3 linked regions of the Tribolium castaneum genome follow. The protein of the gene in region 3 purifies or fractionates together with the protein of the main gene of each other region. This does not show direct contact. Links are inferred from orthologs where the notes say so. Each region holds a gene or a part of one and is shown on either strand. Other genes may lie near its edges.

Region 1 (5,274 bases), on a different chromosome or scaffold from region 3:
GGTAAGTAACGAATTTCATGGCGTTGTAAAATAGTGACTGTAGAATTTTGCAGCTTTAAATGCACACGGGTAACAACTTATGCGATTTAAAGCTTAGGCCCCAAATGTAGAATCACTGTGATAAGTTACGTAGTAGTGCAGAATCTCTTAAATAAATCAGTATATCACCCTTTTTTAGTATAAAAAAGTCTTCAACAGAAATTTAATTCTTCGGAAAGTACGTTGTTTAATATTTACAGTTATCAGTGATATTTCGTAACACACCGCGTTACTTGGCGTTGTCTTCTGGAGTATCTTCGTCGTCTATTAACTTGGCCACGTACAACTTGGGATCGATCACTTTCGGGATCGGCTTGATCTCCGTTCCCAACTCTTGTTCAATGCGATGAAGCGCGAATCGATCATCGTAAGTAATCAAGTTGATGGCAATGCCCAAGTGCCCAAATCTTCCAGATCTACCGATACGGTGCAGATACGTCTCTGCCATTTTCGGGAAGTCGAAATTGATGACGACGTTGACGGCTTGCACATCGATACCTCTTGTAAACAGATCAGAACAGACTAGATTTCGGCAGAGACCAGCTCGAAAATCATGGAATACTCTGTTGCGATGCGCTTGAGCCATCTTGGCGTGAATGTAGTAGCAGCAATAACCAAGTTCGGTGATTTTCTTCGCCAACAATTCGACACGTTGCGTGGAATTGCAGAATATTATGCTTTGGTTTATTTGTAACTAGAAAAAAACTGTCAGAAAAAATAAACCAAAATACCAAGAGCCCAACCTTTGAAAACAGAGTATTTAAACAGTGTACTTTCTGACGTTCTTGAACGAACGCATAGTATTGCGTGACACCTTTAAGAGTGAGCTCCTCCATGAGATTGATCTCGTACGGATCTCGGAGATGTTTTCGCATAAACTGCTCAACTGTGAGAGGAAACGTGGCGGAGAACAACAGTATTTGTCTCTCTTGCGGTAAGTTCTTTATCACAGTGTCGAGCATCCCCTTGAAGTCTTGTGAGAGAAGCTTGTCGGCTTCGTCTAAAACTAGAATCTTGCACTGGTCCATTACGGCGACACCCTTTTCCATCAGATCGAGGATGCGGCCAGGCGTTGCTATAATAACTTGTACTTTCTGGTAGATGCGCATTATGTCATCTCTTAAATTTGTTCCACCGGTCGTTACCATCACGCGCACGTCCAAGTGCTTAGCGAGCTCAATGCAAATTTGTGACGTTTGAAGCGCGAGCTCTCGTGTAGGCACTATGATCAGTGCTTGAATGCAGTCTTTCTTGGGATCGATCTGTTCCAACACGGGAATACTGTACGCACCGGTTTTACCTGAAGACCAAAGCATTCAATAATTGACAGCCAATTTTTAGATTATGTCTGTAAAAGTTTGGCCCTCTTCTTTGTCTTTTTTTATTATAAAAATATTGATTTGTAACTAATTTCCAGTTTTTGGTATATCTGATATGATATATGTATAATGATAAATGCAATAAACAGTATTACATCCAAAAAAGATAAGCAAACAAACACAAGTGAGCTAGAGAGGTAATGTATTTCGAGTACATAACGAATACAAGTAAACAAGGTCACCCAATTTACAATAGGCAGTGAACAAATAACGATGATTTTAACATTTCTGGTGTTTGTCTGTGTCTCGGTTCGAACTACCGCTTATGTAGTGAAAGAAAATATAAAAAAAAACACAAATTAATTTTTTACATCGCGTGTTTTTTAGAATAGGACAGTTTAATAATAACACGTATTTTTTGACATCACAAGTAAATTAGTAAATTAAGAAAGTACAATCAGAATTACAAAAAAGAGAACGTTTTATTATTGACTTGATTGTTAAAAAAATTTTGTACAAAAAAGCTCAATTCTGCGAACTAAATTACCAAATAAAGTAGCTTGACTGATTTATAGCGCCCACTTATTCGAGCTGGTATTTCATAAGCGCAAATTACTGTATGTGATTTTTTGCGTCATATTCAAAAATAAATATGACTATTAGCAAAAATCAAGCCATTAGTTTTGCATATTTGTCCCCCCATCCAATTATTGAGTAACAGAACAGGCTTACTAAATATGCACTAAACATTGAGTAAAAAACATACCTGTGCCATTTTTTGCCCTTGCAAGAATATCCTTGCCAGATAACGCAATTGGAATAGAAGCTTCTTGGATAGGAGACGGTTTCTCCCACCCTTTTTCAAAAATACCCATTAATAATTCTCTCTTCAAGCAGAATTCTTCAAATTCATTTCCCCTGGTATCAGTCACATCCTAGTAACAAATACTTGATAAAATAACGGTAACACCTTTTTTGCACGAATGGTGAAAGAAATGCATGAAATCAGGCAAGACGTTATCATTTATAAGAAAAATGAAGGGGAATCCATAGTGTCATCATGTTAATAATGGAAAGCTTTGAATATTATTCCCGGTTTAGACATGCAAGTGACCCAAAGCCTTCCAAGTGACCGTGAACGTACAAAGCAGTGAGTTTTAACTTACACTGGTCTGTATTCTCCTATCCTTGGGTGGAATCTTCAGTTTGGCTTTCCATCCCATGTCATCCATTTTGGTGTCAATATCACTGCAAGGAAGCGGTTCGTCACCGCACATTCTTAATGATAAGCAAACAACTTACACTTTGCCTGACAAAGCCATCACATGGTTCGAATTCAATGTGTCCGTCATCATAATTGTAGAAAATACTATTGCAAGTGTATTAAAAAATAGGGTTTATAAAACCCAAATCTTCTTCCTCTACAATGTGTAGGATAAGTACAGTTCCTAAGATCCCTCACAGGAACGATAATAATCTGCAAAATCCCAGTTTAAACATCAATGACGCAGAAAATTTAAGGTCAATACGGAATAGATATAACCACAAAAATAGAACATCCCGTAATTGTTGCAGTGTCAATAATAGCCAGGTCATGAACATTCACTGGCGATACGGAAATAAAACCCTCAAAAACGGCCAAAAGTTCGACGATTGCAACAAATAAACAGGATTCAGATTTCTAATTAAAATGGCTACTGATTCTTGTGTACAGTGCACCGTCGACTACACATAAATTATTGCACAACGACGCAAATTTACCTGATTCTGGACAAAGAATTTAAGGAATACCGTCGAGACACCCTGGGAAATACTCAGACATTGCTCATAATGTGTGATTTTTGCATCAAATCGCTCTTTTCGAATAACTTTTACCACTGATATGGACGCTTTACTCACCAAAAGGAAAATGACTTTCAGCAATTAACAATGGCCGCGAATCTGCAATGCCAGGATGCTCCGCTAACCAAAGGACAACCCGTGAGATGGCGCGAGAAACAATCGGAAAAAATCAAAGAATTTTTGAAATTTTTGGCCAAAAAATACAATTTTTTTATGGCAGTGATAACAAAGCGCCCCTGATAGGGTCCGTCTCCTTCAACCATAATAAAATTAAGTAACCACTCATGTAAAAAGCTCACAAAAAAGCGTTCAAATTGCGCGCACCACCTTGTTCTCTTCTCACCACCCACAGCACCACCTTGTTCTCTGGCACCACCCACAGAATAACAGGTTTTACAGAAACGCATCTGTCCTTGTCCCGATAGAGCGAAAGTGTCACTAGCACATCTATTGTTGCCAGCGCGTACTAAGCGTTATCGGCGGGCGATTTGAATTGCCCGTAGTTACTTTTCTTTTAAAGTTTGATTGCATTTTTCGTATTGTTTGTAAATATTCACAACAATAGTTGCTAATAACACTTTCTGATGTTAGACAACTATTGTTGCTGAATATTTACAAAGAATACGAAAAATAAAATATGAGAATAAATAAAGACAATAAACTTGTAATAAAAATTTATTATCACTAGTCAATATACACGATACGATAACTATAAACTAATGATTGATCCATCAAATTATTTATATTCCCACAATAAAAAAGTTCAAAAAAGCACACACACGAAAAAAACCACAAAACAGTACTAATTTCACATAAAACAAAGCCGAAGGCGAACACCAAACAAACCAAGCACAAAATGGCGATTTACACAATGGCAACTGTCACAGGTCCACTGTTAATTTCTGCCGATATTATAGGTAGCTTCGCTAAAATTGACTATACGTGTGTGCGACATCTGCGATAGCAAGCCGAACTACAGTCGATTTTGAATTTGGCGCCTATACTTGGCTTGGTGCATTTAGGTTTCACCACCCTGGCACCACCTTTTTCATCCATGATTTGACAGCTATTTAACCTACAATTTGTCGGTCATTTTAATAACAAATAAACAGAATTTTAGCAAAAAATTGAGATTTCGGTAATAACTGTATTGCCGCATTTTTGGAGAGTTACATTTTGCAATAATTTTCAGTATACGTCATGACTGCAAGCAAGGAGGTTTTTGTCGATTTAGAGGAAAAATTCAATAAGGTCCTTAAGTTACTCGAGGACAGTAAATACGACCCTGAAAATCAGCCTTTCGTGTCGAAATATGCGGCCAGCGAGACCCTAGTCAGCATGAAAGCGAGTCTAGAAAATGTGATAGAAACTCAGCCAGACAATGACAAGATAAAACTAACAGGTGGTGCCACATTGTTGTAAATTTGCCTGAAGGTGATAATTTTAGCAATGTTGGGAAGTGTGTACCTGTATCTTGGTATGACTTCAATTGCCACTGAGGAATTATCGACTGGGGAGGGCTATTTGGCAAAGTGTGAAGACCTGATAAAGGATTGCACAGAGGAGCCCCAAGTGGTTATGGTAACATTGAATATGTACAACCAGTTTGGGATTTTGTGGTCGCAAAGAGAGCCAGAAAAGTCTAAAACTTACCTCGAAAAGGCTGAACGGTTGTACGCGACTTACAAGAAATCGAACGTACCACCAGTTGACATAAAAGACTTGTTTAACCCAAACTTCGAACTAAACGACATTGAAACGGCTTGGATTAACTTTGAGAAAGTTTACACTTTGACAGTGTACTACTTGGCCCAAATATACGGGGCGTTGAAAGACGCATTAAAAAGTGCAGTTTACTGCCACAACACTTTACAAAGACAGTTGGATAGTGGTGACTATGAGTCCATAGACTGGGCTTTGAACGCCGCTACACTGTCCCAGTTTCTCATGGAACAGAACGGTTTCAAACAAGCGAGACATCACTTGGCTGCCAGCTCGCTCATTTTGGACGAGTATGCGAAAACCCTGGACGCTATCACCGAAAGAAATGAGGCTTTTGACGCCAAGATGGAAG
Region 2 (5,546 bases), about 5.6 Mb from region 3:
CTTTGCAAAAAACGCTTTTTTCTTAATTTTAATTAACTTGTAAGATTTGATCATATCATGTGGTACATCACTGCAATCAGGAAGAAATACTTTTCAAAAATACAAATGTCAAATAAGAAAAACCAAAGTTGACTGTTGTAACTCTGACATCAAGAGCGCCTTGGACAAGACAATGACAAGTTTAGATGTTTTGTAAAACGTGCCTGAAGAATGTCGTGCTTAAAAACGTATAGTTCTTTTAATTTTAGCTTAAAAAAATAAAAACAAAAATTTCAAAATTTTGATTTTTCCCAATAATTCAAAAACTAAAAATAACTCATCAAATTTTCTTTGAGATAATTGTTCAGCATAAAAATGCGCAACTTAGTCCTGATTTAACCAAACTTGTATCTCTTATAATACCTGAGGTCCCCATGGTGGAGCTCGAATAACGGACACCTTATCTTTAAAACAGTAAAAAAAATTGCATTATTATTTTTTAGCAAAGATACCACCGAATTTCATTTCCTATTAACTATTAATCATGTAAACTTTAGACAAAATGTACTCAAAAGACGCAATCCTAGTTAATATTACGTGTTTTGTCAAATTTTTGCTGCTTTGTTATTATCAACACCAAAATATTCATCAAAGTTCGTTATAAACGAAAAATTGCACCACATTTTAAGTCAAATCTACTTCGTTACCGTTACCGGAAGTTCGTTATAACCCGTCTCCACTGTAGTCTATTGGCAACTTAGAACGGAAAAAGTGTGATGCGTGTGACCATTCGAATTGTTAGAAAAAAGCCAAGATTTATTGTAATTGTAGCACATTGATTAGGTCGCTTTATCTCTATTTACTTCAATTGTAAATAGTCGAAAACCTGTTTGCAACACGGGGTCAGACGGACGATTATCACGTAAGAAGTATCACCATAATGAATGAATGCAATAAAAAAACGACATGAAAAAGCCTTCACGAGTGTTGTGAAAATAAATAAATAAATAAATAAAAAAGATATGCAGTGATAAAACGCTTCAAACAAATGATAATTTCGGTTTAATTTAGTGCAGTCAGATAGTTGGCTTTGTTAAAATTGTTAAAGTTTTGTTAAATGTTGCTTAAATTAACGTATATTTGAATTTGCTTTTCAATGTTGCCAAGAGGTTTGATAAAAACAAGTAAAACAAAATTTGTTTTTCTGTTTGCCTCATTAAGTCTTATTAACTTATTAAGTTTTGACAAAAATTCAATTTGATTGAACTGAAGTGTGAACTGTCAACTACGGATGATGTTTAAATTTCCCGCTATATCACAGAAGAATAATTTCAAAATTACCCCCCAGAGAACGCCAGTATTAGTTTTCACAAATTATAATTACTAAAAACATATCTTTTGTACAATTAAATGATAAATAACCATGTGTCCGTACTTTTCGTCATTAATTTTAAAAATTACGCATCAACAAAAAATATAAATATAAAAACTGTAACAAAATAAAAAATGTTGCTAGTGTTCTATTTAAAAAAATGTCCCATATACAGGATGATTCAAAAGTGACAAACTCTCATATAGTGTTGAAAGACGTTCAATTAAGCACAAAAATAAAGTAAGATTTTTTTTCAAACAATTTTTAATTTGTTTTCCTTAGCAACGGTATCGATTTTTGCTCTTTTGTTTCCTATGATATCGAATTTAATTTATTGTCGAATTAGCAAGTTTTTTAATAGTTTTGTACATCATAAGAAATTAATTGTTGTTTTTTTTTTTCAACAGGTATTTGTTTGATGTTGCAAAAGCTGTCGTTTCCGCTAAAGTTAAAAAAATTAGATCTGAAGCACCAAAAACATAACTCAAAATTTAACTTCAAAGAGCTCGTGAAAAAAGGCTTTGTCATAGGAACTTTTAATTCAGTTTGATGTTCTTTATCAGTACTCGAAAGATTGTCCGGTGCTTTTGAATCAGACACCTGTATAAATAGATCATTTAAATTACAAATTCCTGTATCTTTTTACTATAACATAATCAAATTTCGTCTTAACTTACTGTTAAGTCCAAAAATCTTGTTAAATATTTATTTAATAATTATAAGTATTATCGGTTCACATTCATAAAAACCACTTCCTAGTGTAAATTGTTTATATTTTGCCTGTGTAAGTCGGTCTCTAAATGAGCGCAAATGTTTCTAGTAATTTCTAGTGAGAAATTTGTCAGAATTGACAGTGTCTACAAAAATAGGTTAGAAGCTCTGAAAGTTTTTAAAGTCTGCTAATTATTCACTTAAATCAAATTTGTGAAGTTGTGAAAATGGTTCAAAATCAGGGTATTAAGACTAATATTTTGTTTTAATAAAAAATAACCAATTTATTTCAGTTCTTTACTGCGCTTGTACCAGGTGTCAAATTTTGAAAGCGAATTAGTACTGCCAATCGGTACACTAAAAAAACTGTAAGCACGGGCGTACCAACCTAACAACTCTACAGCTGGTTGTTATCCATATGAAAATATAGCATGTCGAAAATTTTTTTAAGATTTTGTAAGTTTTGTACGACATCCTTAACTAGATATTTTTAAAAAATCCGGAAATAAATCTCTTTAACGCTAGAAAAAGTTTTTTGATCTATGCTGACTTAGACTAGACACGCTATGATAAATTTCTTTTTTCCCAAAGAAACTTGATAATTTATTAGTTTTACGAAGAATTACTCAAAATTATTATCTCAGTATCTGACTACTTGATTATCAAAAATCAAACTGTCCATTGATTAAAATTTGTTCTTGAAATTGTTTGTTTTGCTAACTTTTCCAGCTTGCTATCAGTGACAAATAATGAAAACATTCATGTCTTATTACTTTCACGTCCAACTTTTGGAACCTCCTTGTATATTAACAGTCATAACCTCAAAGCAATAAATGCCAAAATGACAGTTGACAATTCCGTCAAGTGCAACAACCCTGCATAAAACAAAACATAAAACACCAAATTGGAGATTCGTAAAAAATTAATGAGGTCAATACCTCTGTTTTGGTCTTTAATTCGGCAATTATGTGAAACTAGTTGTTAGGGCATTGAACCTTGAAAAAAGTAAAAGCATTTTTCGCCATCTTAGGGGCTTTTAAGACCACCATAAGCAAAAAAATTGTCAAAAATCGCCAAACACCACATGATTGTCAAATGTCAAACAATATTGTCAAAATTGTCAATTTTCAACGTGTTTCGGGAAACGTCCCATTTTTGATGGATTGCGCTGCGTGGACAGCCCCCTATACTAACCTCAGCGGCCCTCCCCTGTTTTTCCTCTTGTTGTTCATCTCACCGTTACCGTGATGGCCGGTATGGTCCTTATTTCTCGTCGGTACCGGAATTTTGGAGTCGTTGAAAGTACAACTGCTCGAAAAAAAATATTCACGCGGTACGTTCGCGGCCCTCTAACAAAGCAGGCAGCTCCAAAGACACCTAGAAGCGCACAAAATGGCTCAGTGACGTAATCACTGCCACTGTCGATTTTACCTCTTCACATTCGTGGCAGACGGTACCGTAGGCGGTGGCGTCCTCCTCGACACACTTCGTTCGAGACCTGGTGCTTGGATGGGTGCTTTAAAAAACCGATTCCTGTGATAACAAACAATTATAACACAGCATTTGCACAAAGTGTTGTCTGTCAGAGTGACATGGACAAACTGCGCATGCGCACAACACACTTCGGTCATTGCTTCTTTCCTCTAGTTTGGTTTATGGCGGCAAAATTGGGATCAATAAATAAGGGCCTGCGCCACAAGGGACAACTACCTGTTGGTGGTGGCCTAGTTTACGGAGATTTCACCAAAGGGCTTTTTGCACGAGAAGGTGAGTTTTGATGTGTGTGGGTGCATATGCAATCGAGAGGGTACTGACTTATTGCCAACCTGACAGAAATAATTAACATATTTTGATTTTGAAATAAACTAATAATTAATTAATAAAAATGCGCCCCAGATGTTTTGCATTCCTATTTACTTGTACAAAATAAATTAACAAAAATCAGAATCTTAAAGCTCTAAACCCTCTGGGAATTGGTGCATACAATCTTTTTTTGATATTTGTGTTTTTTATAAGTGTAAGCTGTTTCAAAACTATGAAAACGCCAACGTTGCATTTTACCAATTTATTTTTTTTATATTAAATATTAAAATTGTTATTAATGCTTAGATCTCTCATTGAAAGTATAAATTACATTAGCTATTATTTTTTTATAATTCATAACAGCTAATTTTGAGAGAAAATGCGACACTGGCGTTTTTATGGATTTAAAACAGAAAATAAATGTAGTTCCAAGAAACATTCTTTATTGAAAAAATTGGCTAGACATTTTTTATTAAACAAAATGTTTATTAATGGAGTTGACACGAATTTATGATATCGGTGCAATGTATTGAAAATTAAAAAAAATATTTCATAAGTAATTCAAAAATCTGCGCCAACGTCGCATTTTCTCTCAAAATTAGCTGTTACAAAAAATTATTGCACTCCATGTCACATTTAAATTTTTTGCTGTATCATATTTTTGTAATTACAGTATTTTTTTTTTTTAATAAACAATGGAGTGTTATACTCAAAAGTAAAAGTTTTTGGAAATTGCAGATTCTGAAAGTAGACACACAATGATGTCCAGTAATGTTGGTCTGAGGTTTTTTAAATCGGTACTTTTTTAGTAATAATCGAAAATTTGCGCTCTGACGTAAGCAATGTCTCGACTAATGATTCGTCAGTCTTTCGCGGCATACAATTAACGCTACGACCTACGTTTGGGTTGGTAAACGTCAAATACAAATGTCAAAACCGTGCGTTGTCGATTATGACTGTGTTGTGTGCTAATATTTGGCAGGAGTATGTGTTTTGGTAAAATGACTGCTCCTGCAGCACATTTGAAGTCGTATGTAAAACAACGGAGGCAGAGATAAAGAATAGACATACGTCTTTTAAGCTATCTTTGTTGGCAAGTTTTCTATCTCTAGTTCTGTGACTGGCTCATTCAAAAAGGAACATTGCTGAACAGGCCAGGAATTTTCACCTTTTCAATTATTTTTCTCCAAAACGGTTGAGCTTTGGTTAAAATAAAAAAATATGGGTCGCCTATTTTGTTGTTGGCTATCCATATAAAAATTTAAATTTTTTAGTATAACTCCATTGTCAGTGTCAAAATAAAGAAAAATAACACGCTGTATCACCCTAAAACATTCAAATACAGACCAGGCTGTGTCATGATTTTCCCCTAAACGACTTTTGATAAAGAGTCAGTCTTGAAATGTAAATAGCAATAAATACGTGTTTTCATATTAAAACCAATTTAATAATAGCAAATAAAATCAGAACTATTTAAAGTCGGAATCACAAAAGTCCCGTCCTCAGAATCATCTGAATCCGCCGACAATTGTATAATAATTGGAGGTATGTCTTCAAGTGGGGAATTGCCCATTAATTTTGCCCAGTCCTCCCGAATTAATTTTTCGCAGTGTTGAACACTATTATTCCACATTGCAGGTGTAAATTTTGAAATCGTTTCGAGCCACAGAAGTTTAACTTT
Region 3 (4,085 bases):
TGTACAAAATATCTACATGATGATTATCAGAGAGACCGTACTTGGCCCGAATTAATTTCTGCAAATGCCCGATTGTTACAGCGGCGGGACAGCGCAGATAACGCGACGATTCTTTACACCCGTAATAGCACATTGTCAACGAAATCGATTCCTCTGGACTGATGATGTGCTGGTAATTATCCAGGATTTTTTCTAGGTTAGGTTTCGCCTCTGGATGCGTTTTGTAAAAATCGCGTCGCCTTTGAACCTCATCTAAAACACACACTTAGCGCGACATAACCTCACTTCCCGACTTACTTTGAAACAGTCTTGGAACCAATTTGTAGACGATATCTTGTAAAGTTCTGTCTTGCCTGATGTTAAGCAGCGGTTTCGACTTGTGTACTTGCACATCGCACACGGGACAGTACTTATTCGCCGCCAAATACTTAACGATGCAACTTCTGCAAACTTTGGCACGAGTTAGCCTTGCTTCTAGCGTTTACCTCATACTTACAAGAGTGCAAACACTCGATAATCGTGGTGGCATCGACGAAATAACCCTTGCACAGTTTACAAATCAGGTGTTGGTTCAGATCGGTGATTTGTGGTTTTTTCGCTCGGTGCATCGTCCCAAGCTATCCCATAAACCTCCTTACATGATGGTACGGGGGGTTCGCCATAATATGCCCATATTGTTGGCGCGCTGACCTAAAAAGCCCCACGTCGCGTCCCAGCGCCAGACCAGCGTCCCGGCTTCGGCAAAACCATCGAAAACGCCACACCACCGAGCAAATGCCACCAATTTTCACAAATATTTTTGTTTACTTCTAAATTAATTATTTGACAGACGGACCTTGCTCACATTTGACAGATGGAGCGAAAATGGCGTCACCGATTTTCACCAAGAATTTTCCAATTCGGCCGGTTTTTCCACCACTTGCCCGCGGCCCTTCAAGGTTTCCACAAGTCGGGGCGTTTTTCGCGTGGAAAACTCTCGCAAAACGGGAGACACAAGCGTCGGAAAATGCCACCAAATCAAACGCATTAGCTCGCAGTGCCAACCTGAAACACTAAAATCACTAGGGAGGGGATGCAAGTCCGCCTGGCTTTTGTACAATTTTATTGTTTCCTTAAGAAAAATATTTAATACACCGATAATAAAATTGATAAACAAAACAAAATAAAGAAACGGAATCGTCTACGATTGGGGAGAAGAGCAAATGATAGTAGAAACGGAATCGTTGGAGAATACTATGCTGAAATTGAACTAAAATAATTTAAGGGGGCGGGTTTATTGTTGCGTGGTGTTTTGAACCGGCGTGGTGTTCATTGCTAGGTCCTTCATATGCTTCTCCACGACCTTCTTTATATAATTATACTCTTTGCTTTTGGTGTCTCCTCTGATATTCTCGAGCTGGTAGGGTGGACTTATGATCACTTCCTGGTTCCAGACCACGATCTCAGAGTTCCTCCACCTCACCTCTTTTATTGTTTTGGCGATTGCTATAAATAAACTCTGGCCTTCTACTGATACGTTTGCTGAAATTGCTTGTAAAATTCGGCGTTTTTTGTCAACCTGGTTCCGCACTCGCGTGTTTAGCTGCAAATCAATAGGTTCAAGCACGTTCCCAATCGTGGCAAACTCACCCTTTGCAAATTTAACGACTGGGGCACTTCGGGCAACGAAGTGACTTCTTTTTTCACCTGTAACTCACTAACCAACGAAAGGTTGACGAAATGAACGTCGTTTAGTTTCGAATCACCGCTCGTCGATGGGCATTCTGGCCGCAATTAAGGAAAAACATGACTCGGGCCGACTTAACCTAATTTAGATTGGGCAAAGTTTCAGTGTGAAAAGGATACTCAATATGAGGATTTTGACTTGGGGGTCAAACGCCATCACCTCCCCTTCGATTTCTTTGTTATAACATGTCCTGCACCACACTGTACTTCCTATTGAAAAATAATCTAAAACGGCAGCCATTTCGCTAATACGACCACTGTTTTAGTTACTTTCGTTTGCGCGATCTAGTGACATACACTGCTGGCTGTACAGGGTGCAGCATTTAAATATTAAAAAAATTATATCTTTACTTTTTTACAGAGAATTTAATAATGTTATCAGAGGTTTATTTCAACCATTTGTTTAACCGTAATAACAAAGTTTTGTTTTTTTAAATATGAATCATAGTTGGCTATGACATTTTCGAAAAGCTTATTTTTTCTGATTTGATGTGTCTTTTAAATTTTAAACATTTAAGAAAAAACAAAACATTTTGCTTTTTCTTTATAGTAGGCCATGAAAAATTTTTGGATTTTTAATAAAAACTATGAAAATTGTATTACCCAACAAGTAATTTAATGATTTTTTAAACCCTAATTAATTCAAAAACAGCATAATAAATTTTTATTAGACCAAATTTTTGCAATTAATAAAAATTATTTGTTTTTATATTTAAAATGGCCAGCTCACGTTGTCATTCTATATTTTCCAATTTTAAACAAGAAATGTCGGATGAAGAAAAAGCTTATTAAATTGTATGATTGCACATCAATAAAATTTTATTTTACAAAAAAATGTCAATCCAAACACCAAAATCAAATTCCATCTGCGGTAAAAAAATACACAACATTATCAAGTCACCTCCATTACACTTCACTAAATCGTAAAAAAGTGTCATCAAATGGAGTGACACATCGTTTGCAATTTTCTGCACATTTTTTATGTAATTAAAATCTGCGACGCTCGTATATTTGTTCAATTGAAAATAACTTTAACATAGCGTATTTTTATAATTTCACATTTTTTACTTTAATAGCCGTTCACAATATTTCTAGATTATTCACACCTTTTATGTGAAATAATTTTTCCATGGCCAACTAGTTTCAAATATTTTAAATATATTTTTTATCAAAAATAAATAAAAATATCAAACTATATTTATATTGTTTTGAGTTCAGAAAAAAATTAGCTTTTCGAAAATGTCATAGCCAACTATGATTCTCATTTAAAAAAATACAACTTTATGTTATTACAGCTAAACAAATGATTAAAAAAATTACTGATAACACTATTAAATTCTCTGTAAAAAAGTGCCTGTATAATGTCTTTGTTTCAAATGTGTATCTTTTAAAATAAGGAAGATATGATTTTTTTAAGATTTCGCTAAAATGTCAACTTTTGTTTATAAATCGAAAACAAAAGACGATAGCAAAATGCAGTTTTGACCAAAATTATTCACTCAAAAAACGGACCACAGAATGTGTCACTCGTTTTCCTCTAAACCCTGTACAGTAATATACGGGGTGCGTCCAAAAATCACAAGACCCGTTTCTTAAATTTAAATTTATTATCTGAGATACTTTGTACATGCTTATTTAATAGTTAATTAATTATAATTGTTATTGTAATTAATAAATATTTCTCACTGTTTTCTTAAGTTATATAATTTCTAAAATATTGCGTTTTATTTTACATTCATAGTTCCATAACGCTATTTTTCCGTTTTTGTTGTTTGTTACAGCTATTGAGACGAGGCCGCAGAGCCTCCCGAAGCAAGTCTAATAATATGCCTACAAGATTTCAAGTTGTTGAACACACATTTTAAGTCGGAAATTTGTGTTTTAAAATTCGAATTTTCCCCAGGCGGGAAAATTTGAATTTTAAAAACACATCTTTCGCCGCTATCACAAAAATTTGGCTTATCATAGCTCACATTTCAGTTTGTATTTTTGTATTCGGCGTTTTGGGAGCCGATCAATCGTGTATTTAAACTACAGCTAAATACTTTACGACTACGAATTTTATGCACAACCGTTTTTAGAGCATTTCTTTTTTTTGACAAGTTTTTTGATTATTATATATACAAACTAAAATTGACAGAGTTTACATATTGCTCTTGTTTTTGTGAGGGGCGGGGCATGGGTGATCTTCCCTAAACCTACTTATAAATTAAAAGCTACGTTGGCCAATAACGCAACGAAAACGCTTTCTTCGATAAAATTTCCAAACATCAACAAGTATATCAACTAAATAGGTATTTACAAATGTTTTGTTTGTTTCATTTTAGCGTAGATTTAATAATACAGGTACTTTGTTAATA

The links.
Region 1: the proteins of protein LSM12 homolog A (region 3) and me31B purify together in Homo sapiens (affinity purification with mass spectrometry; 5 studies listed by BioGRID and IntAct, with this or other methods). This does not show direct contact. The link is inferred for Tribolium castaneum from reciprocal best matches to the Homo sapiens genes LSM12 and DDX6.
Region 2: the proteins of protein LSM12 homolog A (region 3) and ataxin-2 homolog purify together in Homo sapiens (affinity purification with mass spectrometry; 4 studies listed by BioGRID and IntAct, with this or other methods). This does not show direct contact. The link is inferred for Tribolium castaneum from reciprocal best matches to the Homo sapiens genes LSM12 and ATXN2L.

Annotation. Positions count from the first base shown.
Region 1 is NC_087402.1:3,102,920-3,108,193, reverse strand, and holds the start of me31B (ATP-dependent RNA helicase me31b), read right to left. Parts: upstream 3,393-5,274; 5' UTR 3,258-3,392; exon of another isoform or gene 3,120-3,257; intron 2,836-3,119; 5' UTR 2,714-2,835; coding exon 2,661-2,713; intron 2,607-2,660; coding exon 2,525-2,606; intron 2,294-2,524; coding exon 2,125-2,293; intron 1,340-2,124; coding exon 783-1,339; intron 734-782; coding exon 269-733; 3' UTR 1-268. Other genes in the region: KIF-binding protein, read left to right, coding at 4,401-4,602, 4,648-5,274.
Region 2 is NC_087401.1:7,995,340-8,000,885, reverse strand, and holds the start of ataxin-2 homolog, read right to left. Parts: upstream 3,393-5,546; 5' UTR 3,295-3,392; coding exon 3,257-3,294; intron 1-3,256. UniProt on the Homo sapiens protein: Involved in the regulation of stress granule and P-body formation.
Region 3 is NC_087401.1:13,582,402-13,586,486, reverse strand, and holds protein LSM12 homolog A, read right to left. Parts: upstream 2,007-4,085; 5' UTR 1,967-2,006; coding exon 1,846-1,966; intron 1,764-1,845; coding exon 1,630-1,763; intron 1,583-1,629; coding exon 1,274-1,582; 3' UTR 1,086-1,273; downstream 1-1,085. Other genes in the region: polycomb group protein Psc, read right to left, coding at 1-252, 298-450, 497-608. UniProt on the Homo sapiens protein: Nicotinic acid adenine dinucleotide phosphate (NAADP) binding protein. Confers NAADP sensitivity to the two pore channel complex (TPCs) by acting as TPC accessory protein necessary for NAADP-evoked Ca(2+) release.